4 linked regions of the Stegostoma tigrinum genome follow. The main gene of each other region encodes a partner of the protein of the gene in region 4 in a complex. Links are inferred from orthologs where the notes say so. Each region holds a gene or a part of one and is shown on either strand. Other genes may lie near its edges. The genes, in order: dpf1, arid2, pbrm1 and smarcd1.

What was found.
Region 1: smarcd1 (region 4) and dpf1 share a complex: the UniProt entries of both Homo sapiens proteins name them as parts of the neuron-specific chromatin remodeling complex. The link is inferred for Stegostoma tigrinum from reciprocal best matches to the Homo sapiens genes SMARCD1 and DPF1.
Region 2: smarcd1 (region 4) and arid2 share a complex: the UniProt entries of both Homo sapiens proteins name them as parts of the SWI/SNF-B (PBAF) chromatin remodeling complex. The link is inferred for Stegostoma tigrinum from reciprocal best matches to the Homo sapiens genes SMARCD1 and ARID2.
Region 3: smarcd1 (region 4) and pbrm1 share a complex: the UniProt entries of both Homo sapiens proteins name them as parts of the SWI/SNF-B (PBAF) chromatin remodeling complex. The link is inferred for Stegostoma tigrinum from reciprocal best matches to the Homo sapiens genes SMARCD1 and PBRM1.

Annotation. Positions count from the first base shown.
Region 1 is NC_081392.1:15,780,066-15,787,678, forward strand, and holds the start of dpf1 (zinc finger protein neuro-d4), read left to right. Parts: upstream 1-4,601; 5' UTR 4,602-4,681; coding exon 4,682-4,713; intron 4,714-7,613. UniProt on the Homo sapiens protein: May have an important role in developing neurons by participating in regulation of cell survival, possibly as a neurospecific transcription factor. Belongs to the neuron-specific chromatin remodeling complex (nBAF complex).
Region 2 is NC_081371.1:57,499,490-57,507,406, reverse strand, and holds the start of arid2 (AT-rich interactive domain-containing protein 2), read left to right. Parts: upstream 1-4,903; 5' UTR 4,904-5,523; coding exon 5,524-5,627; intron 5,628-5,816; coding exon 5,817-5,910; intron 5,911-6,614; coding exon 6,615-6,712; intron 6,713-7,917. UniProt on the Homo sapiens protein: Involved in transcriptional activation and repression of select genes by chromatin remodeling (alteration of DNA-nucleosome topology). Required for the stability of the SWI/SNF chromatin remodeling complex SWI/SNF-B (PBAF).
Region 3 is NC_081364.1:19,748,765-19,756,184, reverse strand, and holds the start of pbrm1 (protein polybromo-1), read right to left. Parts: upstream 3,002-7,420; 5' UTR 2,885-3,001; intron 239-2,884; 5' UTR 172-238; coding exon 132-171; intron 1-131. Other genes in the region: gnl3 (guanine nucleotide-binding protein-like 3), read left to right, coding at 3,123-3,135, 3,249-3,307, 7,060-7,203. UniProt on the Homo sapiens protein: Involved in transcriptional activation and repression of select genes by chromatin remodeling (alteration of DNA-nucleosome topology). Required for the stability of the SWI/SNF chromatin remodeling complex SWI/SNF-B (PBAF).
Region 4 is NC_081404.1:15,152,321-15,159,610, reverse strand, and holds the start of smarcd1 (SWI/SNF-related matrix-associated actin-dependent regulator of chromatin subfamily D member 1), read right to left. Parts: upstream 3,008-7,290; 5' UTR 2,994-3,007; coding exon 2,829-2,993; intron 1-2,828. UniProt on the Homo sapiens protein: Involved in transcriptional activation and repression of select genes by chromatin remodeling (alteration of DNA-nucleosome topology).

The sequences.
Region 1 (7,613 bases), on a different chromosome or scaffold from region 4:
GCTTTGACACCATCACTTTGATAAACTGTTATGATCTCTCTACTTTAATTAGTTGGTGCAGTTTTATATTGTTGATGCTCAGGTTAGACCCTCGGCATGCGATTCTCGAGCCCCCTCATGTTATTCCAGCCATTTGACTCATCTCCAGCACCACCTTAATTTTATTTTTTTTTGTAATTATCTCCTTGCCTCATTAATTGGATTATAGGTCATCCCTTCACTTGTTATTCACACTTTACTCACACCATCTGACACTGCGGATCACTTACAGAGTTTATTACTGATACTCCACTCATACTAGTGTGTGATCTTTTGATCTCCCTGCCTAGAACATAGAACAGTACAGGCCCTTTGGCTTACAATGTGCTGAACTTTTATCCTAAACCTAAGGTATATCTAACCTCCACCCCTACCTTATACTATTATCCATTTGCCTATCTAATAGCCGCTTAAATGCCCCTGATGAGGCCGACTCTACTACCGTCTCTGGCAATGCATTCCATGCCCCGACCACTCTCTGAGTAAAGAAGAACCTACCTCTGATGTCTCCCCTATATCTACCTTTAAAACTATGTTCCCTCATAATAGTTACCCTCACCTTAGGAAAAGGTCTCTGGCTGTCCACTCTACATACACTTCTGATCATTTTGTACACCTCGATCAAGTCACGTTTGCTTCCCTCTCACTTCACCTGACAAAGGAGCAGTGCTCAAAAAGCTTGCGATTTCAAATAAACCTTTTGGACCGTAACTGATGTCGTCTGATTTCTGACCTTGTCCACCCCAGTCCAACCAGCACCTTCACATCATCCTCAATACCTCTTCATTGGATAGCCCCATTATACTAGGAATCAGTCTCAGGGAACCTCTGTTTGCGGTACATCCTTCCTCAGATGGAAGGATTAAAATCGGGAATGCTCAAAAGGCTGGAATTTGGTGGGTGCAGAGATCTCTGATGGCGGCATGGTGGCTCAGTGGTTAGCACTGCTGCCTCACAGTGCCAGAGACCCGGGTTCGATTCCATCCTCGGGCGACTGTCTGTGTGGAGTTTGCACATTCTCCCCGTGTCTGCGTGGGTTTCCTCCAGGTGCTCCGGCTTCCTCCCACAGTCCAAAGATGTGCAGGTTAGGGTGGATTGGCCATGCTAAATTGCCCCATAGTGTCCAGGGATGTGTAGGTTAGATGTGTTAGCCATGGGAAATGCAGGGTCACAGGGGAAGGGTAGGGGATGGGTGGGAAGCTCTTCAGAGGGTCAGTGTGTACTTGTAGGGCTGAGTGGCCTGTTTCCATGCTGCAGGGATTCTATGGTGATGTGCAGGTTAGAGTGGATGGGCCTTGCCAAATTGCCCATAGTATCCAGGGATGTGTAGGGTTACAGGGGTTTGGGGTGGTGGGGTGGTGTCTGAAGGTGGGTTGTGGACTTGATGGGCTGAATGGCCTGCTTCCACACTGCAGGGCTTCTAGGTTCCCAGGGTTGGAGGTAGTGGGGCTGGAGGAGATGGCAGAGATAGAGGGAGGCCATGGAGGAGATCTGGAAACCCAGTGATAATGATCAAATCAGGGTGTTTATTGAACAGCAGCCAGCGCCAACCAGTGAGCAAGAAATTGTAAGCACAGAGGTAGGCCATTCAGCCCATCAAGTCTGCCCCACCAGTCAATGAGATCGTGGCTGATAGGTTGTGGGGGGGATATTGAAAAGAAAGGTTGAAATACATGAGATAATGGGAACTGCAGATGCTGGAGAATCCGAGACAACAAAGTGTAGGGCTGGAGGAACACAGCAGGCCAAGCAGCATCAGAGGAGCAGGAAGGCTGACGTTTTGGGCCTAGACCCTTCTTCATTTTCTGAAGAAGGGCCTAGGCCCGAAACGTCAGCCTTCCTGCTCCTCTGATGCTGCTTGGCCTGCTGTGTTCATCCAGCTCTACACCGTGTTATCGCAGATTCTCCAGCAACTGCAGGTCCTACTATAGCTGAGAAAGTGTTAGGAAATTCACATTTTAACATCTCAGTGGGAGCAGCTCTGACAGTGTAGCTCACTCAGAGATAGTAAGAGCTGCCGATGCTGGAGTCTGAGATAACACAGTGTGGAGCTGGAGGAACACAGCAGGTCAGGCAGCATCAGAGGGGCAGGAAAGTTGACATTTTGGGTCAGGACCCTTCAGAAATCTGAAGATTTCAGAAAACCATTTCTGAAGAAGGGTCCTGACCCGAAACAGCTGCCCGACCTGCTGTGTTCCTCCAGATCCACACTGTGTTATCTCTGAAAGTGCAGCCACCGGGAATATCAACCTGGAACAGGTGCTCAAGTCTGGGGGGTGAAGGGGGTGGAAAGGGGATTGAACACATCCCTTCCATTGACGAGGCGGTGTTGGTGAGAGCATCGCATACCAAGTGACTTTAATTCTCCTCCCCACCTCGAGTTGCCCCTGTATCACATGCGCCGACCATTACATCCAGCCAAAATTGAAAAACAAATGAAACTTCTGGTGGTTAATTTTCTGCAAACGTCAACACCGCCCATTTGAAAATTTAAAGATATAAAACTCTGCAAAAGTGGGGGTGGCAGGGACTGCACATGTGGAGTGAGCTCTCTTTGGCACTTCAAGTGCTCATCGAAACAGTTCCCCCAAAATATGCTAAGAGCTCCTGCCTTTACCACCCTTTTGGACAGTGAGTTCTAGATACCTCTGGGTAAAAAAGATCTTCCTGAAATCCCCTCTGAACGTGCTGCTCCTTGTCTTTAAACTGTGACTCACAGTGAGAGACCTCTCCACTAGGGGGAAAGTTTCTCCCTGTCTATGCTGTTCAGATTTCAGTGCACCCTTGTCAAGCCACCCGCTCCGCTATAGGGAAATTAAGCTCTCCCTTCTCTCTTCATAGCTGAATCACTCCAGCACCACATGAACATCCCAGTTAATCTCCTCTGCACCCTTTCTCTCTCTCTACAGTGCAACAAAATCCCTGAGGTTTGTCTGTTTGTAACTAGGTGAATCTCCTCTGCACCCTTTCTCTCTCTCTACAGTGCAACAAAATCCCTGAGGTTTGTCTGTTTGTAACTAGGTGAATCTCCTCTGCACCCTTTCTCCCTTTCTCTACAGTGCAATCAAATCCCTGAGGTTTTTCTTTTTGTGACTAGGTGAATCTCCTCTGCACCCTTTCTCTTTCTCTACAGTGCAAACAAATCCCTGAGGTTTTTCTCTTTGTGACTAGGTGAATCTTCTGTGCACTCTCTCTCTTTCTCTACAGTGCACCAAAATCCCTGAGGTTTCTCCGTTTGTAACTAGGTGAATCGCCTCTGCACCCTTTCTCTCTCTCGACAGTGCAATCAAATCCCTGAGGCTTCTCTATTTGTGACTAGGTGAATCTCCTCTGCACCCTTTCTCTATCTGTACAGTGCAGTCAAATCCCTGAGGCTTCAGTGTTTGTAACTGGGTGAATCGCCTATGCACCCTCTCTCTCTCTCACTACAATGCAATCAGATCCCTGAGGTTTCTCTGTTTGTAACTAGGTGAATCTCTTATGCACCCTTTCTCCCTTTCTCTACAGTGCAATCAAATCCCTGAGGTTTCTCTGTTTGTAACTAGGTGAATCTCTTATGCACCCTTTCTCCCTTTCTCTACAGTGCAATCAAATCCCTGAGGTTTCTCTGTTTGTAACTAGGTGAATCTCTTATGCACCCTTTCTCCCTTTCTCTACAGTGCAATCAAATCCCTGAGGTTTCTCTGTTTGTAACTAGGTGAATCTCTTATGCACCCTTTCTCCCTTTCTCTACAGTGCAATCAAATCCCTGAGGTTTCTCTGTTTGTAACTAGGTGAATCTCTTATGCACCCTTTCTCTCTTTCTCTACAATGCAATCAAATCCCTGAGGTTTCTCTGTTTGTAACTAGGTGAATCTCTTATGCACCCTTTCTCCCTTTCTCTACAGTGCAATCAAATCCCTGAGGTTTCTCTGTTTGTAACTAGGTGAATCTCTTATGCACCCTTTCTCCCTTTCTCTACAGTGCAATCAAATCCCTGAGGTTTCTCTGTTTGTAACTAGGTGAATCTCTTATGCACCCTTTCTCCCTTTCTCTACAGTGCAATCAAATCCCTGAGGTTTCTCTGTTTGTAACTAGGTGAATCTCTTATGCACCCTTTCTCCCTTTCTCTACAGTGCAATCAAATCCCTGAGGTTTCTCTGTTTGTAACTAGGTGAATCTCTTATGCACCCTTTCTCTCTTTCTCTACAGTGCAATCAAATCCCTGAGGTTTCTTCTCTTTGTGACTAGGTGAATCTCCTATGCACCCTCTCGCCCTCTACAATGCAATCAAATCCCTGAGGTTTCTGTCTTTGTAGTGAGTGGGCATTGCCACCCCAGGGAAAAGGGGACACAAGAGGGGAGAGGACTACAATTCCCAGTCGGCACAGATTACTGCCCCCCATAGTGGAGGATAGCGTGGGGGGATGGACTACAACTCCCAGCAGACACTGGGATTACCCCCCATTTCCCCCCAATCTCGCCCCCGGAGCTGAGGCGCAGGCGCGGCCACGCCCCTCTCCACACAGGTGACGTCGCTCCCCAGGCACCAGGGGGCTGCTGATTGGCTGTTTCGTGGCCGCAGCCCTGTTCCATATTGTGAATGGTCCAAATGAAATGTTAAAACCACAATTGTGATCCTACTGTATTTTATTGTATCAAAATGGCGACAGTCATTCAGAATCCTTTAAAATCGTGAGTATCTGCAAAAATTTCTGCCTTGCATTTTTGCAATTTCCCCAGACCTTTCTTGCATTTGGCAGCCCTCTTAAATGAAAAAAAAACTTGCATGCAATTCAGGAGAGGTTTTGCAATAGATGCCAAGTGCATTACACTCAATAATATTCTGCACCCTTCTATTAGTGTTGCATTTTTTTTTCTTATGCAGGTTGCATTATTTCTAATTTTTTTTCAATGTTGTTCTATTTAATTTTCTTTTTTTTGCCCCCCCCCATTCCCCTTCCATTTCAGCTGGAAACTGTTTGGATGCAGTTGCCTCCTCACCTTAAAGGTGACTTGCTGGCATGTGGAGTATATTGTAGCCCAGTGTTATATGTGCTTTACAGTGCTGGCTAATGGGCTGATCAGGGCTCAGCGGCAGCGAGCCGCTCGCCTTTAATGAGAGCAAGGGGAGGGCTGCAGCCACCCGCGGCTCGCCAGCGCCGCCCGGGGGCAGACGCTGGGGACTGCAGGGTAATTAAAGGCGGTGGAGCGGGCGGCGAGACGTTGAGCCGACAGAAAACAACCCCCCCCCCCACCCCCATCAAAGAATATCTCCGTTTGCTGTTTTGTTATGTTGAATACCTGTTTCAGTTTTGCAACCAAATCTGAAAGCTCGAGATTTTTGTCATACTTTTGATTTAGTGAAATGTCATTTATTTTCATTTTTTTGCCTTGTGTGCCTGATAAATGCCTCTCTGAAGGTTAGGGAGAAATGGGTTGTGTTTTCTTTTCAAATGTCAGCCTCTCTTGGTTCCCTGCAGCAATTCTGAAGATGCAGGAGGGGGATTGACAGCACTGAGGGCATATAAAACACATTGCACCCCCTTCCCCAACCTCCACCAGGCACCCATTTCCATCCTTGGTGCGTGTTCATCAACCACACAGAAAGATGAGGGTAACTGTGAACACTGATGGTCACCAAACCCAGCAGTGAAGTGGAATACTGCGGACTTCAGATAGAACATAGAACATCGAACATTACAGCACAGTACAGGCCCTTCGGCCCTCGATGTTGTGCCGACCTGTCGTACCGATCTCAAGCCCATCTAATCTACACTATTCCATGTACGTCCATATGCTTATCCAATGACGACTTAAATGTACCTAAAGTTGGCGAATCTACTACCGTTGCAGGCAAAGCGTTCCATTCCCTTACTACTCTCTGAGTAAAGAAACTACCTCTGACATCTGTCCTATATCTTTCACCCCTCAATTTAAAGCTATGCCCCCTTGTGCTCGCCGTCACCATCCTAGGAAAAAGGCTCTCCCTATCCACCCTATCTAACCCTCTGATTATTTTATATGTTTCAATTAAGTCACCTCTCAACCTTCTTCTCTCTAATGAAAACGGCCTCAAGTCCCTCAGCCTTTCCTCGTAAGACCTTCCCTCCATACCAGGCAACATCCTAGTAAATCTCCTCTGCACCCTTTCCAAAGCTTCCACATCCTTCTTATAATGCGGTGACCAGAACTGTACGCAATACTCCAAGTGCGGCCGCACCAGAGTTTTGTACAGCTTACAGATGGGCAAAGAGTGAGCCTCGTTTGGCTTGGCCTCTGATGCCCACCTAGTTGAATAGCCTGGGAGCAACAAATCAAGTATGCAAACCCACAGAGTGGAAACATTACCCCTGGGGGGTTGTCAGGATTGAGTGCCACACAATGCAGTTTTAAGGCCTGTGAGAGTAGGGCCAAGAGGAGAAATGTTTACCCACAGTGAGTGGTTAGGGTCTGGAATGTGCAGCTTCAGCTGGCAAAACAGACCTGGGTACCCGCTGAAGGAGATTGCGCCCAGGGCTGCGGGGAGGAGGTGGGGGGAGTGGGACCTCCTTTGGAGAGCCAGCCCCTACACGATGGGCCGAATGTCCTCCTCCTGCACTGTATCCTTTCTGTAATTCAGTGCTCGGGTTCACATTGCTAGGTCTTGGGGGTGGGGAGGGATTCAGCCCTGGACAGGGTCAGCATGAAGGGGGTGGGGGCTGCTGGAGGAACGTGTCGGAATTGGTAGGGACTGAATTTTAACAAGAGAGGGTCAAAGAGTGAGGCGTTTGCACGAGGTCAGGACCAGATGGGGAGACCAGCAGCAACTGGATGAACACAACACAGTCTCACAGCAGTGACACTAAGCACTGCTCCCCCCCCCCCCCCCAACAGTCCGTTTCAGCTGAAGGGCCAGTGCCCCTCGAATATTTTAGCTGTCTTCCCCCCCACCCACCCCGCCATGAGTCGCAATTAGATGGTAAGGATTCCTAACGGTCCCAGTCCCTGAACAGTTCTCTCTGAATTATTTTGGAGGAGAAAGGCACCGAGGAGCTCACGCTCAATGGTCAGCAGTTAGTCTGGATTCTGCAGGAATTTTGGGATGCACAGGGAAAGGATACCCTACACTTCACCAAACACTACCATCCCCCGCCTCCGCATACCTCCTCCCCACTTCCCAAAGATCCTGGTCCCACTTCACCTCTGCCACTATTGCCCTCCTCCCTCTGCCCTTTCTCCCTCAACCCTTCTTTCTTTTTCTCCCTCCTCCCCGCCTCTATCTCCCTCTCCTCTCCTCTCTAAACACCCCCCAAACCTCCTTTTGTCACCAGCCCATTCCCCCAGCCATTCCAGCCTCTTCACCCCTCAGCCTCACCTCCTCCCCCTCACCTGTCCACCTATTCTCCCCTTTCCTCTTCTCACAAAACCTCTCACTCTCCACTCAACCCCCTCCCCTCCTCCCTCAAGCCCCCCTCCCTTCCTCCCTCTACTCCCCTCCCCCTACTCCCCCTCCCTCTACTGCCCCTCCCCTCCTCCCTCTACTCTCCCTCTATTCCTCCTCCCTCCATTCCTCTTCCCTCTGTTCCCCTTCACCTCCTCCCTCCCTTCCCTCT
Region 2 (7,917 bases), on a different chromosome or scaffold from region 4:
GCAAAGGCCCTGTATAAAATTGTAGTAAGACACCCCTGCTTCTGTACTTAAATCCTCTCACTGATATACCATTTACCTTCTTTACCACTTGCCTACCTTCAACAACTGAAGTACATGAAGGTGTAGCAAGGACATCCAGGTCTTGCTGCACATTGCCCTCTCTTGGTTTAGTGATCTGCCTCCCTGATTTTGCTGCCACAAATGGGCAAACTCACATTTATCCAATGTGCTGCATTTGACACATTCGTTCAGCTTGTCAAAAATCAAGTGAAGCAGTAAATATCCTGCTTGTTACTTCAAAGAATTAGTCAATAATAGAACCGTATATAAATTTCACAAATCTATTGCCCAACTGACTGCAGATTTAAAATAAATTTTACACTGGCCAAAACGTTTATAACATTTGCTAAGCATTTATTAAAATATTAAATAAATTGTTGAACTGCTGCAAACAAAAGACAATACTATTTCAACATAATCATCATATTACTTCAAAAAAACAGCTAAATCTTGAGTTTCAGTTGAATTGTAGTCAAAGAAAGGACAAGTCTAATGGAGGTACACTAACTATGAAATAAGTAGTGTTGTCATGGCTGGTATGGAAGAGAGATAGTGGGCAAAAAAGAAAATACCATTTAAAGAACTGGAAGAAAAAGTATTATTTAATACTTGCAATGATAGAGTAAATAGAGTGTCTAGTCACAATCTTTGAAATATGCAAGTACGAAAGTGGTGCTAAATCTGCTGGCAAAAGAACAGAAAACTGACAGATTAATGAAATGTACTTTTTAGTGGGAAGATGTAAATGGTAACAACCTTCAACGTGTACGAAAATCATAGCTATTTGTCAGACTGTGGTCATGGTCACGTCTGTTCTCCTGGCCAGAAGGTTCACTTTCTGGATATGTGTCACAACACTGATCAGTTTGATTAAGAACATTACTGGATTTAGTTATGAGAGCCGCAATTATCAAAATGCTGACAGCACAGTGACCGGTGCTGTATGACAAGTACATGACAAAAGAGATTCCGCATGCCCGTGGGCACCCAAAATGTGAACGGGCATTCCACAAGCACTACTTTTTAGCAACTACTAACCAATGCATATTGTAGGCCATCCACTTTTGGAAACAATTTATCAGCAAGGAAGGTAACTCATACTCTCAACCAAAGGAACTTAGATTTTGGAACATTGTAATTTAAAGCTCCACGGAGAGGATAAAATTAGGTGTCCATTTTATGGATAGCAACTTCTCTAAAAAAATTGATTACTTCGATCAAAGGCACTGAAAGTTCCTCCACAAGATGTTTGTCATTTGCCATACACAACTAGGGTGAATTGCTTTTTCCTCCTGTTGGAGGAAGTAGATTAAATTATGCAAAACAAACTGTACTAGCATCTACAAACTTATCTGTGACTGGCCAAAAAGAGCTTAAGGAAACTTTGATACCATGAGCACATTATTTTAAACCACCAACCCAGCAGCTCAGCAAATTAAAACATCAAATGGCTGAGCCATTAGCTCACAAACTATTAAGATTTGATCATCAGAATCTAAGGGAGGCTATTATAACTAATTCAGCCACATTGGCCCGAGCATGAAAATGCATGAGCTTCTCATTGCTCTGCTACAAAGAATCCAAATTAGCAGAAATTTACAAAGGACATGGGGTTGGGGGCAAAGAGGAGCAGAAGCAGAAAGCAGGAGAGAAAGAAAGAAAAAACAGACAGGTTCCAGTCTTTACAAACCCACACTGGCATCAGGTCAAAAAAAAATGAAGTTTAGAAATCTGGGTTCCAAGTACATAACGTGCTATTTGTAATTTTCAAAAACAAACTAATTTATTAGCATCTAATCACAGCTGAAGATTAGTGACTTTCTCTACTGTTAAATTTGTACTTAAACTATATCCCCACCTCACTGAGAATTAATCACCTCATCAGGAATCTCCATTTTCCCTTTCAAGTCCTTCAATATGCCGACATCCAATGCACGAATGAGGTGAACTGCTGATTACTACACAACTGTCTAAATGTACTTCTAACAGTTGCCAATCTTTCTGTTAGTCTCACCACACTATCCCTTCATTTGTGGGATAGACTGATCTAACCATTGCAAAACCCACCCCTAATTCTCCAAGGTAGTTATGGTGAGAAGCTTCCTTGAACAGTTGGGTGTATCTACATTATAGGTCCCAGAGTCCAAATGTCAAAACCATCTTCTTTCTGTTAGCTATGATTCTAACAGCAAAAGCAGAGATTGTTCCTCCCAATTTGCATCGAGTCCAGTTTTACGAGGGATCCTCAATGCCACCTGGTTAAATGCAAGCCTGAAGTCAAGGGCAGTAACACTCACTTCCCCTCAACTTCAGCTCTTTTCTCTATGTCTGAGCCAAGGCCATAATGAGATCAGGAGCTGAGTAGGTGTGGTGGAACTCAAACAGAGCAATGAACTGGGTTTTGTTGAGTGCCATTTGACAGCACTGACCATGCCATGATTCATCCTTTAGGGTCCACAGCTTTTGCAGTACGCAGTTCTGTTAGCTGCTTCTTGAACATCACAGTCAATAGAACATATAATTGGCAGAAGTCTGACAACCTCAGGAGGTCACGTGTCTACTTAGCACTTCTGACTGAAGATGCTTGCAAATGCTTAAGCCAAATCTTTTGCACTGATGTGTTGGCCTCCAACTTATTTGCAGAACCACTTCCTCAAATGATCTGTTTAATTGTGCACCAATTGATGTGGAAGGACTGCACAGCTTACAGTTGGTTCTATTAGGCATGGGATTACTTAGCTCTATCACATGCAGTTTACACTTAAGCTTCGAAGGCTCACTGAAGATGTTACCTAGAATGGTGACGAAACGTCTGAAAACTAACCTTCCAGCTCAGCGAGCAAACTCACATCCAGAACCTCAACCTGAGCTACAAGTCTTCTCAAAACTTGCTATGTGTTGTTAAATTTTACACAAGTTTTTAAACATGTAAGGGGATGTGATAGCATGGTCGGTATGCTTGCTAGATGATTAATCCACAGATCCAGATAATGTTGAATAGTGGAATCTAAATTTGATAAAAATCTGGTATTAAAGAGTCTAATGATGACCACAAAATCATTGGCTGATTATCGAAAAAAAAACACTTATCAGGTTCACAAATGCCCTTCAGGGAAGGCAACTGCCCTACATGTGACTCCAGGCCTGCAGCGGTGTGGCTGATTCTTAAATGTCTTCTGGCAAATTCGGAATGGGCAATAAATGCTGGCCCACCCAATGACACCAAGTGTTGGAGGGGTTGTCAAAGAGGAGTCTCCAGTCCTGTGTCTAGGAGCACACATGGATCTTCATTCACAACTCTTTACTATGCATCATGAGGGGTGTTCCAAGTCAGTGTTACTGGAACACACTGCCTGCATCCCCAACCCCCCAGTCAAATACACTAATAGACAATAAGAAAAACTTGAGATAACAAGGTGTGGAGTTGGATGAACACAGAAGGCCAAGCAGCATCTTACTCCGTCTTCCCTACCTCCCCACCTACACTCACCTTTACTGGCCCCATCCCTGCTTCTAACTTGTCTGTCTCCTCTCCACCTATCTTGTCCTCTATCTATCTTCGATCCACCTCTCCTCTCTCCCTATTTATTTCGGAACACCCTTCCCCTCCCCCATTTCTGATGAAGGGTCTAGGCCCGAAACGTCAATAAAAAGCTTTACTGCTCCTAACATGCTGCCTGACACTCCTTATGCTCCATGGTAATTTCGATATGCCAATCCCTCCGTCAAGCGCTCAGGATGTTGTGGTAGAAGCATATACAAAGCGGTATGAATATTATCAAATGAAGATTCAATTCTTTTCCGCTTGACATTTGAGGGTCTCCGAGTACCTTGGAAGGATTTCGGACGAAGATAAGCTTCTGTTGTTTCCCTACACACGCATCTCCAATAATTCAACCCTCAGCCCGAGCACGATAAAGTAAGGGTCTAGGCCCGAAACACCAGCCTTCCTGCTCCTCTGATGCTGTGTTCATCCAGCCCTACACCTTGTTATCTCACAACAAAACCCACTGGTCCGGGATATCCCCGTTGATGAAAACACCTGCAAGTCAAAACAACTGCCTGCCCTGGGGCTCCCTGTCAACTTTTAAGCAAGAACAAGACTAAAAGTAAAGTACCCACGACTGTTTTTCACCAAAGCACACATTATTTTAAAGGAAGACCTATCATGTCACTCTAAAAGCCGAAAGGCAAAGAGCAAAGAAAATAATTAGAAGCATTAACTCTGATTTCTCTTCGCAGATATTGTCAGGCCCGCTGAACTTTTCCAGCGGCTTCAGTTTTTGTTTGACTTAACATCTCTCCCTTCACACGGAGGCTCACACAACACTGTTTCCAGCAGACGACGGCCACCACCTTCCTTTTTATAAACTATTTTTAAATAAAAACCACGAAAAAGATCGCAGCGCTGCGCCTTCTTCAAAGGAGTCCGCCTGATTTGAATAAAATCCTCGCTACACATAATAACAAATAAAAAGACACACATACTGTACGCATAAATACATACGAGTCAGCGTTTGTGCGGGAACCATAGGGAGAGAACCGAACGTCTCCTCAATCCCTGTTGGGCGCCGCCATTTTGTGAGCCGTTACCCCGGGACTGGGCGGGAAAGTGGGCGGAGGATGAAGCAGCGCGAGAGAAGGGGAAACTTGGAGGGGGAGGAGAGAGCAGCGCGAGAGGCGAAAGTGGGCGGAGTAGAGAGCGGCGCGGGCGGGGAGGAGGAAGATAGACGAGAGCTAGAGTGGGGGAGGGGGAAGGATCCGCGATGGGGGAGGGGTGTCGCGTAATGGTTGAATAGTGGCACCCCCTCCCGGGGCCCAGGCTGTGGTGGCCGGTTTGGTTGAGACGAGGCGCTATTGTTTCGCTTCTCCGAGGGAGGTTCGAGCTGCCGCCGGTGTTTCGGCCGCCAACAGCACCGCCGCTGTGTTTTCATTCCTTTCTCCCCCCCCCCCAAAAAATTATATATAAATGTGTGTGTGTGTGTGCGTGTTATGTTTTTTTTTGTCCTCTCCCGTGTATGAGTTAATGTTAAACTGCATGGAGCCGCTGCAGCCCGTCTGAAAAGAAAAATATATTTATACCATAAATACACACACTTATATTGTCTACCACATTAACATACAATAGAGAACAAGATGTAAGTTGTTTTTTTGTGTGTGTTTTTTTTGGTTGAGAGGAGATCGAAGAGTGCAGCGAGTGAGTAAAAGCGAGTCTTTGCTCTTTTTTCCTCTTTTTTTCTCTCTCTCTTAAACTTTCGCACTCGCTCCATCAATGACTGAGCGGCGGCGGCGGCGGACCGGCTCTCCTTCCAGACATTGACTAAGTTCCCCGAGGCTTTTTATTTTTATTTATTTATCCTTTACGCCCACCCCCCACCCCTTAAAAAAACTCTCTCTCTCTCTTTCTCTCTCTCTCTCTCCCTCTCTCTCTCTCTCTCTCCCCCCCCTCACACACATACAACAATGAAAAAGATGGCAAATTCGATGGGGAAAATGCAGCCGTCAGACCCGAGGAGAAAAAGGCAGGCGTTCCTGGAGGAGCTGCGGCAGTTTCACCACAACAGAGGGTAAGGATTTTAAACACCCCCCCCCCCCAACCCCGAAATTTTTATTTATAATTTAAGGGGAAAAACCCGGGGGATACGTTGGGCGAAACTTTGGACGGGCGCTTTGGTGAAGAGGAGGTGAGGGTCTGATTTTATTCTTCTTTATTTCTACCCCCCCACCCCACCCCACCACAACCACTTCTTGTTCAGGACGCCTTTTAAAAAGATCCCAATAGTTGCCGGAAAGGAGCTGGATCTTCACGCTCTCTACACCAGAGTCACCAGCCTGGGAGGATTCGCCAAGGTGAATATCTTGTGTCTGTTGTGTTTAATTTAATTTCTCGCCGTACGCGCGTCTTAAAAATCTGTTATCACCACCAGCACCCCCCCCCCAACGTTTCCTTTTTGGAAAACCCGCTCGGAAGGGCTGTAGTTTTATTTTTAAAGGTTTACAAAGGAAAAGATTTCTGTCGTGTGTGTGTGTGTGTGTGTGGCAGTGAAGCTGTAAATGGCAGTTGCCTGTCTCTGGCCTGGCGTTGCAGTTGCTGCGGCTGCTTCACTGCGCGCACTTCAGCCAAGTCAAAATTAGCGGGCATGCTTAACATCGATAATCGTGAGTGTGCCTGGGGTAGGAAATGCTCTTCAGGGGACAGGCTCGCACCACTCGTTTGCCTTTCTTTTACTCGCCGCAGCGGAGGGGACGGAGCTCTCCGCTGTGTCAGGCTTCGTGGTTGAGGGGGAAAATCGTAGGCCTCACGTAGGCCCGTAGGGTGGCCCGAACGTTTGAAAATGCGAAGACTTGTCGACCCCCCTTTTTTGTCTTCTGAACCAGGAAAGTGTTGCAAAGTTTTTGTTTTTTTTCGCTCCTGACCCGTTTTTTTTCTTTCTCAGGCAACATTGCGGCGCTGTTCATGTTGTTTTAAAGCCTTAGAAGGAACAGATGGTATATTCTGCTATCTGATAACGTGTCTGCATATTAATCAGGATTATTGTGTTTTTTTGGTGCAGGTAACTGACAAGAACAAATGGTCACAGATAACGGAGGAATTAAACTTTCCGAAAGGTTGTCCGAATGCATCATTTGCCTTAAAACAATATTACTTACGGTGAGCTTTATAATGCATTTTATGTTCGGTTCAAGTCGATTCTTGCTATAGCTGTTCAAAGTTGGGAACAAGGGATTTAATTTAGAGAAAATAGTGATACTATTGCAATCGTACCTTCTTATTTTTCCTCTTGAAAACGACATTTATTTTACTTTTTGTAGAAATGAAATAATAATGCTTTTTAAGTTTTTGAAATTGATGTTTGAACTGTTGTTTCGTTTTTGGGGTTTTGAAGTATTATGGCGAGTTGATCTAAAATGTATTAAACTTACAGAGCAAGAACACTGTACAGGTGTGACCCAGTTTTACGGTAGTTTATAGTTGAGGCGTTCTGCAGCATTTACAGCAGTTCAGAAACTACCTGGAAGGAAGTAGCATACGTGAAACAACGCAGGTGTTTTCTGTTGGTAAATTTTGTTGCCAGAACAGAATTTTTCCAAAAACCAATCAGTACTCCAGCTTTTTTCAAACTTTTCATCAGGGAGATTTTGACAGTAATGCTTGATACAGTATGTATCTTTTTTATTTAAATGTAAATCCATAACTCTTTCAAAACAGTAAAACCAGTTTGATGTAGAAGGGCTATATTTTGTAAATTGGTTTAAAAGTGTGTAGTGTCTTGTTTTGTCCCAGTATTTTTATTTCCTTTCTTTTGCAAGGATGGTTAATTTTTTTTGAAAGTTATGGAAATGAAATAATTTAATGGTGGATTCACTGAGCTGAGGCAATTTTTCCACTGGATGTTGGGATTGATGGGAAGTTTGTGGATAAGAATGAGGTGAAAAGGCAAATTTGGTTTAAGCATTATGAAGATGTCGTGCTTTGGGAGTACTTGGATTCTGAAATAGTTGGCTTTGTGCACTATTTCCACTCAATAGTGTTGTACAAATTTAGTGGTTCAAAATAAAATTAACATTTCAGAAGCCTTGAACAAGCAGTGCAGAAAATTTTGTCGTGATTAACTTGCACAACGTTTAAAATTTCCAGGTTAAGGTTCAATAACGGTTGCTTCTGTTCATTTCAATGATATTGTTTGTGTGTTCTAGAAAAGCTGCATCTGTTTGAATTCAAAAAAATTCGACAGCTTATCTGACAACTTTTGGGTAACTTGGTATGAGAATACTTGAATGTAATTTGGTCATATTTAAGTAATACAGCAGAGAGTATTCCAAATGGATTTGAGAGCATCTGTTGGAGTGCTGTAT
Region 3 (7,420 bases), on a different chromosome or scaffold from region 4:
TTCTCAAGGCACAAACAATAATTGATTTAAAGTTAACAGTATCAAATAGCAGTATTAAGCAATTTAAGGTTATGCCATAGACAAACATACAACTTGTAAAAATACAATCTAACAGAACATAAAGTGCTCACTTGGAAACACCACATTAGGACAAAAGGTCATCCGATTCATATGCAAAGTCCGTCTAGTCCAACTTCAGTTTTCTAAAGTCATAGAGCAAACTTCCAACCTCTGAGGCCTGGACCAAGTTGAAAGCATGTGGGGAAAATATACACACAAAAATGATACCCAAATCTTGCGCACTCATAAACAATACTTACTCCTACAATTGTCAGGCAGTTTCCCACCACCACCCTTGCCCAATCTTTTTCCATATTTGCTTTTCTTTTATATTCTTCAGTTATTACTTGCACAACAAACAGGGTACTGGGGTGGGGAACAGAAACAGCACATGGGAAAGTAACACAGCTGTAGCAAGGCAGATACCTTTACAGTATAGTCTCATTCATGAAATTGTTCCAATTCATGTGACTTTGTCTGATTCTAAGTATTAAATTGGCTAAACAAATACACTGCTTAACCATAGGAGTTTTTTTTCAGGGACAGTAAAAGGAAAATTAGACAACAATATCCTAAATCATATCTTATATTGGTTGGCCACACTCAAAGAAAGTTTACATGCTATTACGCAAAGATTTGTTCTGCTGAATGTCCTAGTTTTGTCCAAAAAAAGCCTTTCTCTTGTCTTTCTAAAATTTTTCTATGATAAGCTAGGGATGTCTATGCACTCCCAACATCTGAAACAAAAATAGAAATTGCTGGAGAAATGCAGCAGATCTGACAGCATCTGTGGAGTGAAAGCAGAGTCAATATTTTTGGTTCAGTGACTCTTCATCAGAATGCAACACTCCTGATATCACCTCTATCCTACCTCCTCCCAGTCATAAACTGCAGACAAAAAAATACTGCACTAGCACACTTCTTTCCACTTATGTACTGGTTTTGCAGCTGTCAAATCAATGTTCTATGCCTGTAACAAACCCTTCATGCAGGTGTTTTTCTTTACTTTCTGTTGGCTGGCAGGGGTAGCCAAATGTTTTGATTTATATTAGGCAGCCTCATATTTAAAGTTTTTACCAGCAGATACTGTACTAAAGTTAACATATAGCATGAGAATCAGGTGTAATGAGTTGGAATCGGTCAACTTGATGGGCTGAAGGGCCTTTTGTGGACTGAATGATTCTAATCATTGAGACAACATGGTTAACAGTACTTTCCAAACTATTAAGTCAGTGAAATTCAAAGAGGACAAATTAACATTTTTTAGAACAGAGAACAAAATAATTGTGCCGGCATTTTTAACAGGGTATCACCAGAGCTTACAGACGTAATTATCTCGTAATTTAAATAGTCAAATAATGGTGCACATCTTGAAGAAACGGATAATCTTTCCATAGATTCAAATGCAGGGCGCCTCAGTGCATAAAAATCTCTGGAGTTTTTTTGCAAAGAAGTTTCTTAGGAAGATAGTAATTTATAGATGGAAGCAGCATCGTGTTTATTGCCTGAATTCAAAATTAATTTTGATAATATCGAAGTGGATAACATACTGATATGTCAAAATAAATGTCAATCATTCACATTTGTTGAAGAAGTTATTTCAGTACTGACAATTTGATGGACTCACCGTAAAGATAGCAGACTAACTGCGTCAATGACAGGATGAACAGTCTATCTCACAAACTAATGAGATAAGAATTAAAAATAAAAAGAAAAGCAATGTTTGGAGAAATAGAATGGGTCAGAAGTGTGTAAAAAAAGGAAGAGAGAAATGTAAGCTTAAGTGGAAGAGAGTCAAAAAGGAAAAGTTAAACAACACAATTTATAATCTGTAGAGGAGATCCATCTGTCTTAATTATTTCCTTTTAAAGTTAGAGATGAGGTGACTTTGTGGAAACATGAATCTTGTAATTAAAACAGTTCTTACACCATTTAGTACTAGTCCTGCTTTTCTATAACAAGTCAAAATTCATTTTAACAGAGCAAATAGAATAATTTCTTAAAAGTCACAGGTCAGCTGGCTGCCAGCTCCTGCTTTCGCAAAGCAAATTTTGTAATAACATGCAACACATCAGGTTATCTCAAAGTTGCCATGAATAGCTGCGCTACTTACAAATTCATAACTTACAGTGAATTCACTGTTACTTTCTCAGCAAATTCTGGCCTAACGTTTTTGCCCAGTGGATCTTAGTAAACTGTGACTATGTGGAAAATTTGGTTTAATTGGACAACTTTTTTAAAAACTGAAGTGCCATCTTAGAAATGTAAATATGCTTAAAATGTTGTTATGACAACAACCATAAAAATGTGGCATGTTCCCCTAATCAGGAAGTGTTCTATTCCTAGGATTACCGGCAGATTTTATTCCCCGATTGTACGCAGCTCCATTTCAATTTAAAATAAACCCACTGACAACAATACTAGTTCATTGTCTTGACATCTTAAATGTACGTTCAATCACTGAATATCCAGCAACGATGTCTGGATGATGTAGGCAGGGTACATTTCATTCATACCTTTGGAACAGGGCGAAAAATAGGCTTAAACGTAAAAGTTAAAATATCTGCTTCCTTTCAATATGGGCAGAAACAAAAACAGCTCATTTAGGCGCTGAATGAAAGGTGGAATGAACTGAGAGGTGGACACAAGCCATCGCGCGGTTGAAATCTTGACTCCCGGGAGCTGACTGACAACAAAAGAAGCAGCGGCCTGAGCCTCACAAACACCTTGGCAGCCACGCAAAAACAAACTGGAAAAAGACTGCAGGCACAACTTCCACACATCACTCATCTCAGTACAACTCAGCAACCGAAGCCGTCCTTACCCTACTCGGCTGATCCCGAAAGAATATATGATAAAATAATAATAATAACAACAAGAGATCCACAGTCTCCTCCTATACCCAACTATGCCCCTATCGTCAGCATCAGCGGCTCAGCCGTAAAGCGGGTCGGGGATAGAGTATTGACGACATTGACGTGCTCTCTCACTGTGTGTTTACGGCAGGCGATGGGACGTTTGGGACTTTGTCACGTGGATTGCTCTTTTTGCAGCCGGACGGTATGAAGCGGCCGAGTGAGTTGTGTGGCGTGGAATTGTAGTCTTTACTGTTCGTTACATTCTTTTTTTTATCCGCAGGAGTTAGTATTGTTTCGATTCATTGCCCTCATTGTTGCGTTTCCTTACAGAGCTGAAAAAGGCGAGCAAGCGCCTGACATGCCACAAGCGATTTAAGATCCAGCGAAAGGTGAGCCGGGGTGGAATCCACGAGTTGTGGACGCCCCAATATTGGGTACATTGTTCGCTCTGGGAAAGCTTGTGAGATATAATAACCGGATCGTAATGTATTGAAACTGGCTAAAGAAAGAGCAAGTACTTTTATAGCCAACCTGAACTGCGCCAAGCCCCTTCACAATCACCTAAGTTAGTACTTGTACGAGCACGTGGCTTTAAGGCAAACTGCGTAACACATAGTCAAGTACAATTTGGTATAAACTCTTAGTATGCAGTTCGAGCACCTTGCAATTTTTGTACATCACGCTATTTAGAAAAAGTTTACTGCAGCCTATTCACATTTTTAAATGATTGGGCAGGAGTATTGGATGATTAGATTATTAACAAAGAGCAGATGAAATGCATTTTGTAATGATTGAGAAGTTCAGGATACGGATTTAAGATGGAGTTTTGGAAATCTTTTCATTATGTTAAGCTGACGGAAGAGAGATAAACAAGAATAGAGTGGACATATGTGAGCATGACTTATGGTCCTTGTCAACTAAATGTCAACAGACATGTTTCTGTTGTAATTTTAGTGTTTATTCTATATACTTTTTGTAATTCACTGCTTGAATTAGTGTGCAGTTATACCTCATTGATATTTCAAGAAATTTGCAATTTACAATCTATAGAGCCTTTTTGAAGAAAACCACCCAGATTTGACCATTTTTAATAACGTGACAAAGAAACATAGTACTGGGTCATTTGGCCCTTCGAGGCTATTTCTCCGTTTGGAACAATGGCTGATAATTTTGGGGTCTCAGTCTCACAATTTGACTGACTCCATAAACCTTGGATGTGTGTCAATCTTTTTAATTTAGCCTTTGATAAATTTTATATTTATTAGATTGGATTAACTGCAGTGTGGAAACAGGCCCTTTGGCCCAACAAGTCCACACCACCCCTTGAAGTATCCCACCCAAACCCATCCCCATTCCCCTCTAACCCACGTACCCCTGAACACTATGGGCAATTTAGCATGGACAATCCAACTAGTCTGCACATCTTTGGACCATGGGAGGAAACCGGAGGAAACCCACGCAGGCATGGGGAGAATGTGCAGAATCCACACACAGTCACCCAAGGCTGGAATTGAACCCGGGTCCCTGGCGCTGAGAGTCTGCAGTGCTAACCACTGAGTCACTGTGCTGCCCTAATTTAGTGGCACAATTTCCAGTGGAAGAGATTCCACAGACCAACCGCCCTCAAAAAAAAACTTTCTCACTTAAATGGGAGATCTTTTAAACTTGTACTTTGTTTCTCGTGCTAATCTTCCCCACAAGTTGATAAAACCTCTCAGTAACCACCCTATCAAGACCCCCCAGTATTTTAAAAACAAGAATTGGATTTTAGAAATCTGAAACACACACAAAATGCTGGAGAAACTCAGCAGGTTTGACAGCATTTGTAGGGACAGAAACAATGTCTCAAGTTCATTGACATTTGTTGTGACAAAGGGTCAGTGGACCTGAAATGTTGACTCTTCTTTGCTCTCTGTAGACACTATCAGACCTGCTGAGTTTCTCCATGTTGTTTGCCCCAGTATCTTGTATATTTCAATAAGATCATCCCTCATTCTTCTCAACTCAGTGAGTACAAGCTCGGTTTTACTTCTAAACTACTTCTAATACAGTTCTTTTTCAACTGAGGAGAACAAGACTGTATCATTTTCCTGGTGTGGTCTCACCAATGTCATGCACAGCCGCATCTAAACATACTCTGCTTTCATGCCTTTCCCCTTGCAATGAGTACCACCATCCCATTTACCTTTCTAATAACGTGCATGCTTAATTTGTAATTTATAAATCAAAACATCCATCCTCTGTATTACCAAGTTCTGTCGTCTACCTCCATTTAAATAGTGTATGGTTTTTCTATCTTTCCAGTCTAAATGAACAAGTGCTCCTGGGATGCTGCTTGGCCTGCTGTGTTCATCCAGCCTCACATTTTATTATCTTAAGTTCACATTTTCCCCCATTATACTCCATTTGCCAAATTTTACCCATTCGTTATCTTGGAATATTATATGTGATTATCAAAACTGCTTTGAGTGACAGCCAATATCATGGTGCAATAATCCTATAAATTATTTACATTCCTTGATCACTTAAAATCTGTACATATTGTTCAACCTCTGTATTAATATGTGGAACACTGCAGGTGTTACCATTTCTGGACACATTTTTTCAACTTTCAATGAGGTGCCAGCCAGCAAGAAAAATAGTGCTGTTGTAGCGTACAATGCAAAGAAAGAAAGAAACTCGGCAATTATTTTGTTGGGAACTTATTCGAATATATTATTAAACACAGAATGACTGGACACTATAAAAAAAGTGCTGATTAGACAGAACAAATGCAGACTTGTAAAGGATAGGTCTTGCCTAATTAATGTAATTAATCTTTTTGAGCCAGTAACTACTGTTAGGAGGAAAGTGTCTCTATCTAGAAGTTATGAGCTTGATTGGAAAGGAAATGGCTAATAGAGCCCAACAAATATCAGTGCTTGGGCCTTCAACTACCATTGTCTTAATGATTTGATAAAAATAGATGGCAACATTTGTTTGCAAATGATTGCTGTTGTTCTAATTAGGTTAGAAAATAGCACAAGATTACAGAATTGAAAGATTGTAAGTGGACAAAGAACACTTGCTGACACCACCAAAATGGTCTAGATGTGCAAGTGTAAAAATGAGCATGCATAATATGTTTGCCGGTACTGTCAGTGACATCATTCCATCATGTTTATTGTGCTTATTTGGGTGCTGTGTTTTTACGAGTTGGGTGTTTCATGAAGTGTGCATCTGCTGAACTTGCCACATGTACAATCTGAATCTTTTTTAAAGTGTCAAAAGAGAGAGCTGTTGACAAAACTTCTAGATGAATTGTAGGTAAGTGTGAGGCCATCCATTTTGTAATTTAAAAAATATATTTTCAATGGCAAAAAGCTAGGAGTCATAGAGATGTACAGCATGAAAACAGACCTCTCGGCCCAACTCCTCCATGCAACCAGATATCCTAAATAAATCTAGTTCTATTTGCCAGCATTTGGGCCATACCCCTCTAAATCCTTCCTGGTCATATACCGATGTGGATGCCTTTTAAATGTTGTAATTGTACCAGCCGTCTCCACTTCCTACAGCTCATTCCATACGTGCTTCACCCTACGTGTGAAAAAGTTGTCCGTTAGGTTCCTTTTAAATCTTTCCCTTCTCGCCTTAAACATATGCCCTCTAGTTTGATCTCCACTACCATGGAGAAAAGATGCCTATTCACCCTATCCATGTCCTTCAGCCTCTGATGCTCCTGGGAAAATAAACCTCCACCACCCATAGATTGGGATATTAGAGATTTAGAAGTCTATGGACACATCACTATAACTAAGTTGTCTTGTAAAATAATCAAGACGCCATATGGAATGTTAGCCTTTGTGATTAGAGAGCTGGGATAGAAAAAGGAGGAATTGTTGCAGCAGCTATACAAGGCCCAGTTCAGACTGTATCAGGAGCACTTTGTACAGCGCTAGGCTTTGGATTTTGGAAGTTATCCATTCAACTGGGAACGAGTACAGTGCAGATTCACCGGAGAATTAAATTAAAAACAAAATTAAATGTATCTAGGATTAATCGTATTTTTAAAAAAGTTTATATTTTCTCTGAATTGAAAGCCCCATCTAACTGGAGTCTGGTTGCAGCAGCATTGTTAATGTTTCAACTTAAATCATAGGTTCGTGAACATAAGCGGAAAACACGAAAAGAAGCAAAGAAACAAGGAAATAAAAGTAAAAAATCTCGAAAGGATCCTGGTGTGCCTAATAATGCTCCATTTAAAGAAGCAGTTCTTCGAGAGGCTGAACAAAGGAAACAAAACGTAAGAGGACTCTGCTTATGTACAGATGTTTGATATTTTATAGTACTTTGTCTGACGCAAGCTTCTATGCCAGTTTAACTAAATTAGTGACTTCTGCATTTACGATGCCATAATTTGAGATAGCTGACATCTTGAAATATGTTGTAATTTCCTCAAACTCAAAATGTGTTTGAGTATGTAACCCGAAGTTATCTGGTATGTCTAGTACACTTACAGA
Region 4 (7,290 bases):
GAATTTCAAAGAATGAGAAACCTACAAAATATTTTAGGGATAAAGAGGAGATGCAAGCAAAATACATCCCTTTGCTGGGGAGTTGAGAAGTGGGAGGGAGGGACGCCATTTAAAAAATAAGGGGAATACCATTTAGGACCAAGATGAGAATTTCTTTTAATCAAAGGGCTGTGAACCTTTAGAACTCTCTCCCCCACCCCCAGAGGGCTGTGGACGCTCAGTCTTTCAGTATGTTTAAGGTATAAATTGATAGATATCTCATTATCAATTGTGCAAAGGGATACAGGTATAGCTAACATGATGCTCAGTAGCAGTGGTGCATCGATGTGCTTCTGAGATTTTATAAAGCTCTAGTTAGGCCCCATTTAGAATACTGTGTCCAAATTTGAGCCCCACACCTCAGGAAGGACAATACTAGCCCTGGAGCGTGTCCAGCAGAGATTCACACGGATGATCCCTGGAATGGGAGGCCTAACATACGATGAACGGCTGAGGATCTGGATTTGTATTCATTACAGTTTGGAAGGTTGAGGGGAGATCTAATAGAAACTTACAAGATAATGTATGGCTTAGAAAGGGTGGACACTGGGCAGTTGTTTCTGTTAGGCAGGGAGACTAGGCACAGCCCTAGAATTAGAGGAGGTCAATTTAGAACAGAAATGAGGAGACATTTCTTCAGCCAGAGAGTGGTGGGCCTGTGGAATTAATTGCCATGGAGTGCAGTGGAGGCTGGGACTTTAAATGTCTTCAAGGCAGAGATTGATAATTCCTTGCGAGATCAAGAATTTAAGGGCTACGGGGAGAGTGCGGATAAGTGGAGTTGAAATGCCCATCAGCCATGATTAAATGGCAGAGTGGACTCAATGGGCCGAATGGCCTTACTTCCACACCTCCTATGTCTTACAGAGCTCAGAACAACTTTCTCGCAAGATGAGCCGCTCATGCTATCAGAGAAAATTTAAACTAATCTGACAGGGGTGTAGAAAGCAAAGGCAGAAACAGACAACATTCGAATAGCCAATAGCAACATACCAGGCAGGGTCAGACTAGGAGTAAGAGAGAAGGAATAAAGTTTAAATTAGGATTATTGTGGACATTTGGGAATGTGCAGACTGGTGAGCAACAAGTGCAAACTGACATATGGGAAGACTAAACTTACAGAAGGACCTGATGCTCAGAATGCTTGAATAAAAGGTGTCCAGGAAAGATACTGCAGTACTGGAGAAAGTGTGCTCCTCAGGGGTGTCAAGTACAAAGTCTGTTTTAGAACTAGGGAACAAGGTCTAATTATATTGCTTGGTGTAGTCTATGGGCCACAAAGTAGTGGGAAAAATGTAGAGGAACAAATTTGCAAGGAAATAACAGAGGCATTAGAATTACACAGAGGAGTTATAATGGGAGAGAACTTTAATAATCCAAATAAAAACTAAGATAACAGTAGCATAAAGGGAAGAGACAAACAAGAGTACAAAGAGTGTGCTCTGGAGAATTTTTCTACAATAGTATGTTGAGTCCAATGCGAAAGATTTAGCTGGGCCTAGATTTTGGGAAGGTGGTGTGTCAAGTGGATCTAGTGCCAGATTAGAGAAATTGGGACTATTCACCTTGGGAACGGCTGAGAAAAGACTTGATCGAAGTGTTCAAAGCCATGAAGGGTCTGAACAAAGTACAGAGAAAGAAACGGTTCCCATTAGTTGAAGGATCAAGAACCCGAAGACACCAATTTAAGACATGAGGCAGTTAGAATCTGGAATGCACTGCCTGCAAGTGTGGTGAAGGCAGGATCAAATGAGACTTTCAAAAAAGACTTGTATTTTTGTCTGAACCAGAAGCATTTGCAGGATAAGGCAGAATGGCAAGAAGCAAACTGCTTCTTCAACAGGCCAGCAGAGTTGAACAACCCCTCCATGCCATAATCATTCTGTGATTACAAGTACAGTAGCAATCTCCCTGGAGTCTTGAACAATATTTATTTCTCAATCAACATCACCAAAACAAATTGTTTATCACAATGCTGTTTGTGGGGGATGGCTGTACACAAATTGATTGCCATGTTTCCTGTGTTATTATTGAGAGTACTCATCAAAAGCACTTTCAGATATTTGGTGGTTGTGAAAGGCCTTATATAAATACAAGTTTTGCTTTTCTGTTAACATTTGCTGGCCAATTTGTGGTGAACTAGGGTTCTCAGTCACTGCCTGAGAGAAACACTATCTACCATACACAATTTACACCTGGTTCTCACAGCCAACAGCTTTCATCACCATCTGCCTGTATTTCAACACAGGACAGAAAATGTTTTAAACTGCTCAGCAGGCCAGGTACATCAGCCACCTTTGAACAAAACCCCTATGATTCTATCAAAGCCACAGGGATCCTGAGAATATCAAGCATTTTTCTCTTTTTAAGTTCAAGTTTCCTACATCAGTAGCATCTTGTTCAGATTTAACCACAACTAGCTTCCAAATTCAAGACTAAGAGTCAAATCTGAACATGACTCAAAATAAAATCTTTTCAACTTACATAACTGTAGAAAAATAATCATAAGACATTACAAACCAGTCTGTTCGGGCCTAAAGAGCAAGGCAAGAATGTGAAGCAGCCTTAGGGGATGCAATCAATTATCCAACTGAAGGAAACAAAGGAAGCTAGGGTCAGGTCAGATGTAGAAAGACCAATCTGGTCATTCAGGAGGCAAGAAAGGAAGCTTGCTGGCTGTGGCCGGTTCGATTTAAGGAATGGGACCTGCCTTGGTCAGGACAAGGGGCCTCGCCTTTCCCCCCACCCCCTTCATCACACATAGTTCCATATCCCGGCCCCTCACTTACCGGGTATCCCTGGCCTGGCATGGCTGAACGGAACATGTTTTGTTGTTGAGCTCCTGTTATCCTGCCCGGGGCCTGCCCCGTCCCTTGTGCTTGGCCAGGCCCCGGACCCGCTGCCATAGCAGCCGCCGCGCCCGGGCTCATTGTCTGGAAGCCTCGCGCCGCCATCTTCGAGAAGGAACTCTTTCGCACCGGAAAGCGATAACACTGCTTCCGGTACGCGGCCCAGCCCGCATGCGTTAATTAATCGCCTGAAACAGCGCCCCCCTCTGGGCGGATGCTGAACTCCAGAGACGGCGACACACTCAGGGCGGAGACTAAACTCCACAAACAGGGCCATCCTCAGGACAAGGGCGAAACTCCAGAAATGGCGTCACACTGAGGGCGAAGTCTTGAACTCCAGAAGCAGCGCCACCCTCAGGGCGGAGACTGCAAAATAACGGAGAAGGCCCCAAGAACAGCGCCAGCTGGTGGGAGAGTTAAATCCACATGGTTTTATTCGGTGTCACGTTGTAACATGTAGTCATTGGGCTAACCAAGGCTTTTCCAGTGAGTTACATGCTGCCTGATCATTGAGAGTTTTTTTTAGAAAGTTCAAAGGGTAAGTGAGGAAGGGAGACAAATAGAAAATAAGTGGAGATTGGCAGTCAATTCAAAAGGGAATGCAAAAGCTTTTTTGGGATATGTAAGTAACAAAATTACATGAAGAGAAGGGATAGATCAGTTAGGGACAAATGCACATCCAAGGTATCAAATGAGTACACTGCATCTGCTTTTAACAATCTTAGCATCCTTACATTTGGCCCATCAAGTCCATACCAACCCACCAAAGAGCATCCCACTGAGATCCACCCTATCCCTGTAACCTTGCATCCCCCTTGGCCATCCCAGCCAGCCTGCACTATGGGCAATTTAGCGTTGCCAATCCACCTAACCTGTATAGTTTTGGACTGTGGGAGGAAACCCATGCAGACATGGGGAGAATGTACAAACTCCACACAGTCACCCAAGGGTGGAATCAAACCCTGGCGCTGTGACACAGTGGTGCTAACCGCTGAGCCACCGTGCCACAAATGAGGAAGCCGCTGTCATACTTAAGATACTGGCTGAGCTCAGGTTTGACGAAGAGAAGAAGTCAGTTTAACCTACATGGTTAAAATGCTTTTAGAAGTGATAATTGGGATTAACATTAATCGTCGCCTGACTCATTTACGAAGGAAAGCTCACATGGATTTGTTAAAGACAAGTCCTGTTCCACTAACCTGATAGAGATTTTTTTAATGAAGTAACACAAATGTTTAATGGGGGTAATACAGCTGATTTGATTTAAATAGGCTTCTGAAAAGCATTTGACAAAGTGCCACATAATGGTCTTGCTGGCAAAAGTGAGGCATGCAAGGGACAGTGGCAACAGGGGTTATGCAGTTAACTGAGTGACAGAGAACAGTTGGGGGTGAAAGGTTGTTTTGTAAAGGAGGAGTAGAGTTTGCCATGTTGAAATGAGGACCATTACTTTCCTTGATCTATATTAATGACCAAAATTTACTTGTCTAGGGCTTATTTCAACAGTTCCAGATGATACAACTATTGTGAACCCTGAGGAGGATGATGATAGAGTGAATGAGGACATTGTGATGTAAGCTGTGTGGTTTATATAGGTTTTATTATAATTTAGTTTAGAACTTGGATTTTGGACTAGTGGCATTTGGGCTTTGATCTGTGTATGAGAGAGAGCTGAATGATTAACTTGCCACTATATCCAGAGCTGTCATTTTTCTTTTCAAAAAAAACGATGAGAGAGGGGTTTTTTTGGAGAAGCAGTGGGAATGTATTTGTATTGGGAAAGCTTACTGAGTAAACAGGCTAAACATTGAGAAGTGCTCGGCTTTCAGTTAAACAAATCAGCTTTTTTTTGCATGAGGAAACACCTATAGCTCATGTCCTGGTGAACCTGAGATGTGTAAAATAGCCTCTTCTAAAGAAGGGCGATATTTAAGAATTGTTAAGAAAATAGGTTACCTCACCATCAGGAGTTTAGCTTGGAAACCCTAGACCAGAAGTGCTTGGTTAGAACCTTGAAGGAGTTATTTGAAGCTGAGAAAGACTAAGGTCAGTTGTATGGACACTCAAGGAATGAATTTTCTGAAGAAGAGTCCCGATCCAAAACATCAACTTTCCTGCTCCTATGATGCTGCCTGTCCTGCTGTGCTCCTCCAGCTCCACACCTTGTTATCTATAGCATTATGTGTTTGTATTTCAATGAAAGACTACCTTGTTGAATTAAAGAAAGACAAGATACGATCTGTCAAGCCAGATTTCTGCCCAGGATCTGGCATTTCCAGTGCTAACATCAGTTGGGATCATAATAACATGGATAGGCTGGTAGAATAGACAGACATGTGGAAAATGTAATGCAAAGAAGCAAACTATATTGATAGGAAGATCAAAGCAAGGCATCATATAAGGTTGGGTACATCTCTAAAGAGGTTGCAGGAGCAGAGTGATGTGGGGTTAAATGTACACAGACTGTGGAATGTGGCAAGGCAGGTTGAGGAAATGCTTCATAGGTGTACAGGACTTTAGGCTTTATATATCGAAGCATTGTGAGTAAAAGCATGTAAGGGTAGCACGGTGGCTCAGTGGTTAGCACTGCAGCCTCACAGCGCCAGGGACCCGGGTTCAATTCCAGCCTCAGGCAACTGTCTGTGTGGAGTTTACACATTCTCCCTGTGTCTGCGTGGGTTTCCTCCGGGTGCTCCGGTTTCCTCCCACAGTCTAAACATGTGCAGGCTAGGTGGATCGGCCATGCTAAATTGCCCCATGGTGTCCAGGAAGCTAAGTGGGTTTGCCATGGGAAATGCAGGGTTATTGAGGGGTGGGGGTGTGATGGGATGGTCTTTGGAGGGTCACCGTGGACTTGATGGCCTGAATGGCCTGCTACTACGCTATAGGGATTCTGTGATGAACCTTTAGAAAACACTGGTTTGACCTTTAGTGGATGATTACGCCCAGTTCTGGGTCCTGCACTACATGAAGCATGTGAGAGGGTGAAGGAAAGATCCATGAGAATGGTCCTGGGGTGAGACACTTTGAGTAGGTTGGAGAAGCTGGGACTATTCCCCTTGGAGAAGAGAAGACTGAGGGGGAATCTGTTCAAAATGAAGAAAGGTCTGGGCAGAGTGGTAGGAAAACTGGTGTAAGGTGATTGGTGAAATATACAAGGGCAGCACACAGTAAAAAACCCTTTTACTGCAGCGAGTGGTTAGAGTCTACAATGCAAGTGGTCGAGAGTGTAATGGAGGCAGGGTTAATCAATGCTTTCAGGAAGGGAATGAGATAAGAATCTGCAAAGGAATCCTATTCAGGGGTACAAGGGGGAGTGGGACTGACTGAGTTCCTCCTTTGGAGAGCCACTATAGACTCAAGAGGCTGAATGACCTCCTGTAAGCTGCTACGGTTCTGTGGATCTGCCATATCTGTGTTGCATAGGGGAAGGTGGATGGTACAAATTCGAGGACGTAAATTGCATTTGGACAAGACCGTGGTTATGCTGCAGGACTACATGACAGCAAAGGGTAATGGTAGGCTGCCATTCAAGAAGAAAGGCTAGAAAAATAGAAGCTTTCTACCCTGTCATAAAGCAAGATGTGATGGAGCCTCACACCACGACAAATCTGTTACCCATCTGGCGAGGCTTAATTCGGTCGCCCCGAGTAGGGGAACAATTTGAATCGATTCATGTTGGGGTAAGAGGGAGAGAGAGATAGGAACTATCTTCACGAGGCTTTGCAGAAATTCACCAAAGATTCTCAGACAACACCTCCTAAACCCATGACCACTTCCATCTAGAAGGACAAGGGCAGCAGACACATGGGAACACCACTGCCCTGCGAGTTCCCCTCCGAGACCTTGTGGAGAAAGAAACGAGAGTTAACGTTACAAGTTCAACGTGACTGCTTTTCGGACTGTGACAAGCCTCATTAAACTCGTCCTTACAGTTTATCTTTACAGTGTACATTCACAATTCATGTTCTGCAGACTTGAAACGCTCACTCGTTTCTCTCCCCACAGACGCTGCCCGACTCGCTGAGTTTCTCCAGCATTCTCTGTGTTTGCTTTGGATTTCTGGCAACCACAGGGTTTTACTTTTAGTTTATAATTCTGTTCTGGGTACCTACCTTCATTACTTCAGACCATTGAGTATAGGAGTTGGGACATTGTGTTGTGGCTGTACAGGGCCATTGCTGAGGCCACTTTTGGAATACTGTGTATAATTCTGGTTGCCTTATTATAGGAAGAATGTTATTAAGTTGGAAAGCATGCAAAAAAATGATTGACAAGAATGTTACCATGACTGGAAGGTTTGGGAAACCTGGATGCGTTGGGCCGAAGGGCCTATATGACTGTGAGGGTGACGCACCACAGTGCAGTACTGAGGGAGTGCTGCTGTTCGCATGAGCCTTTA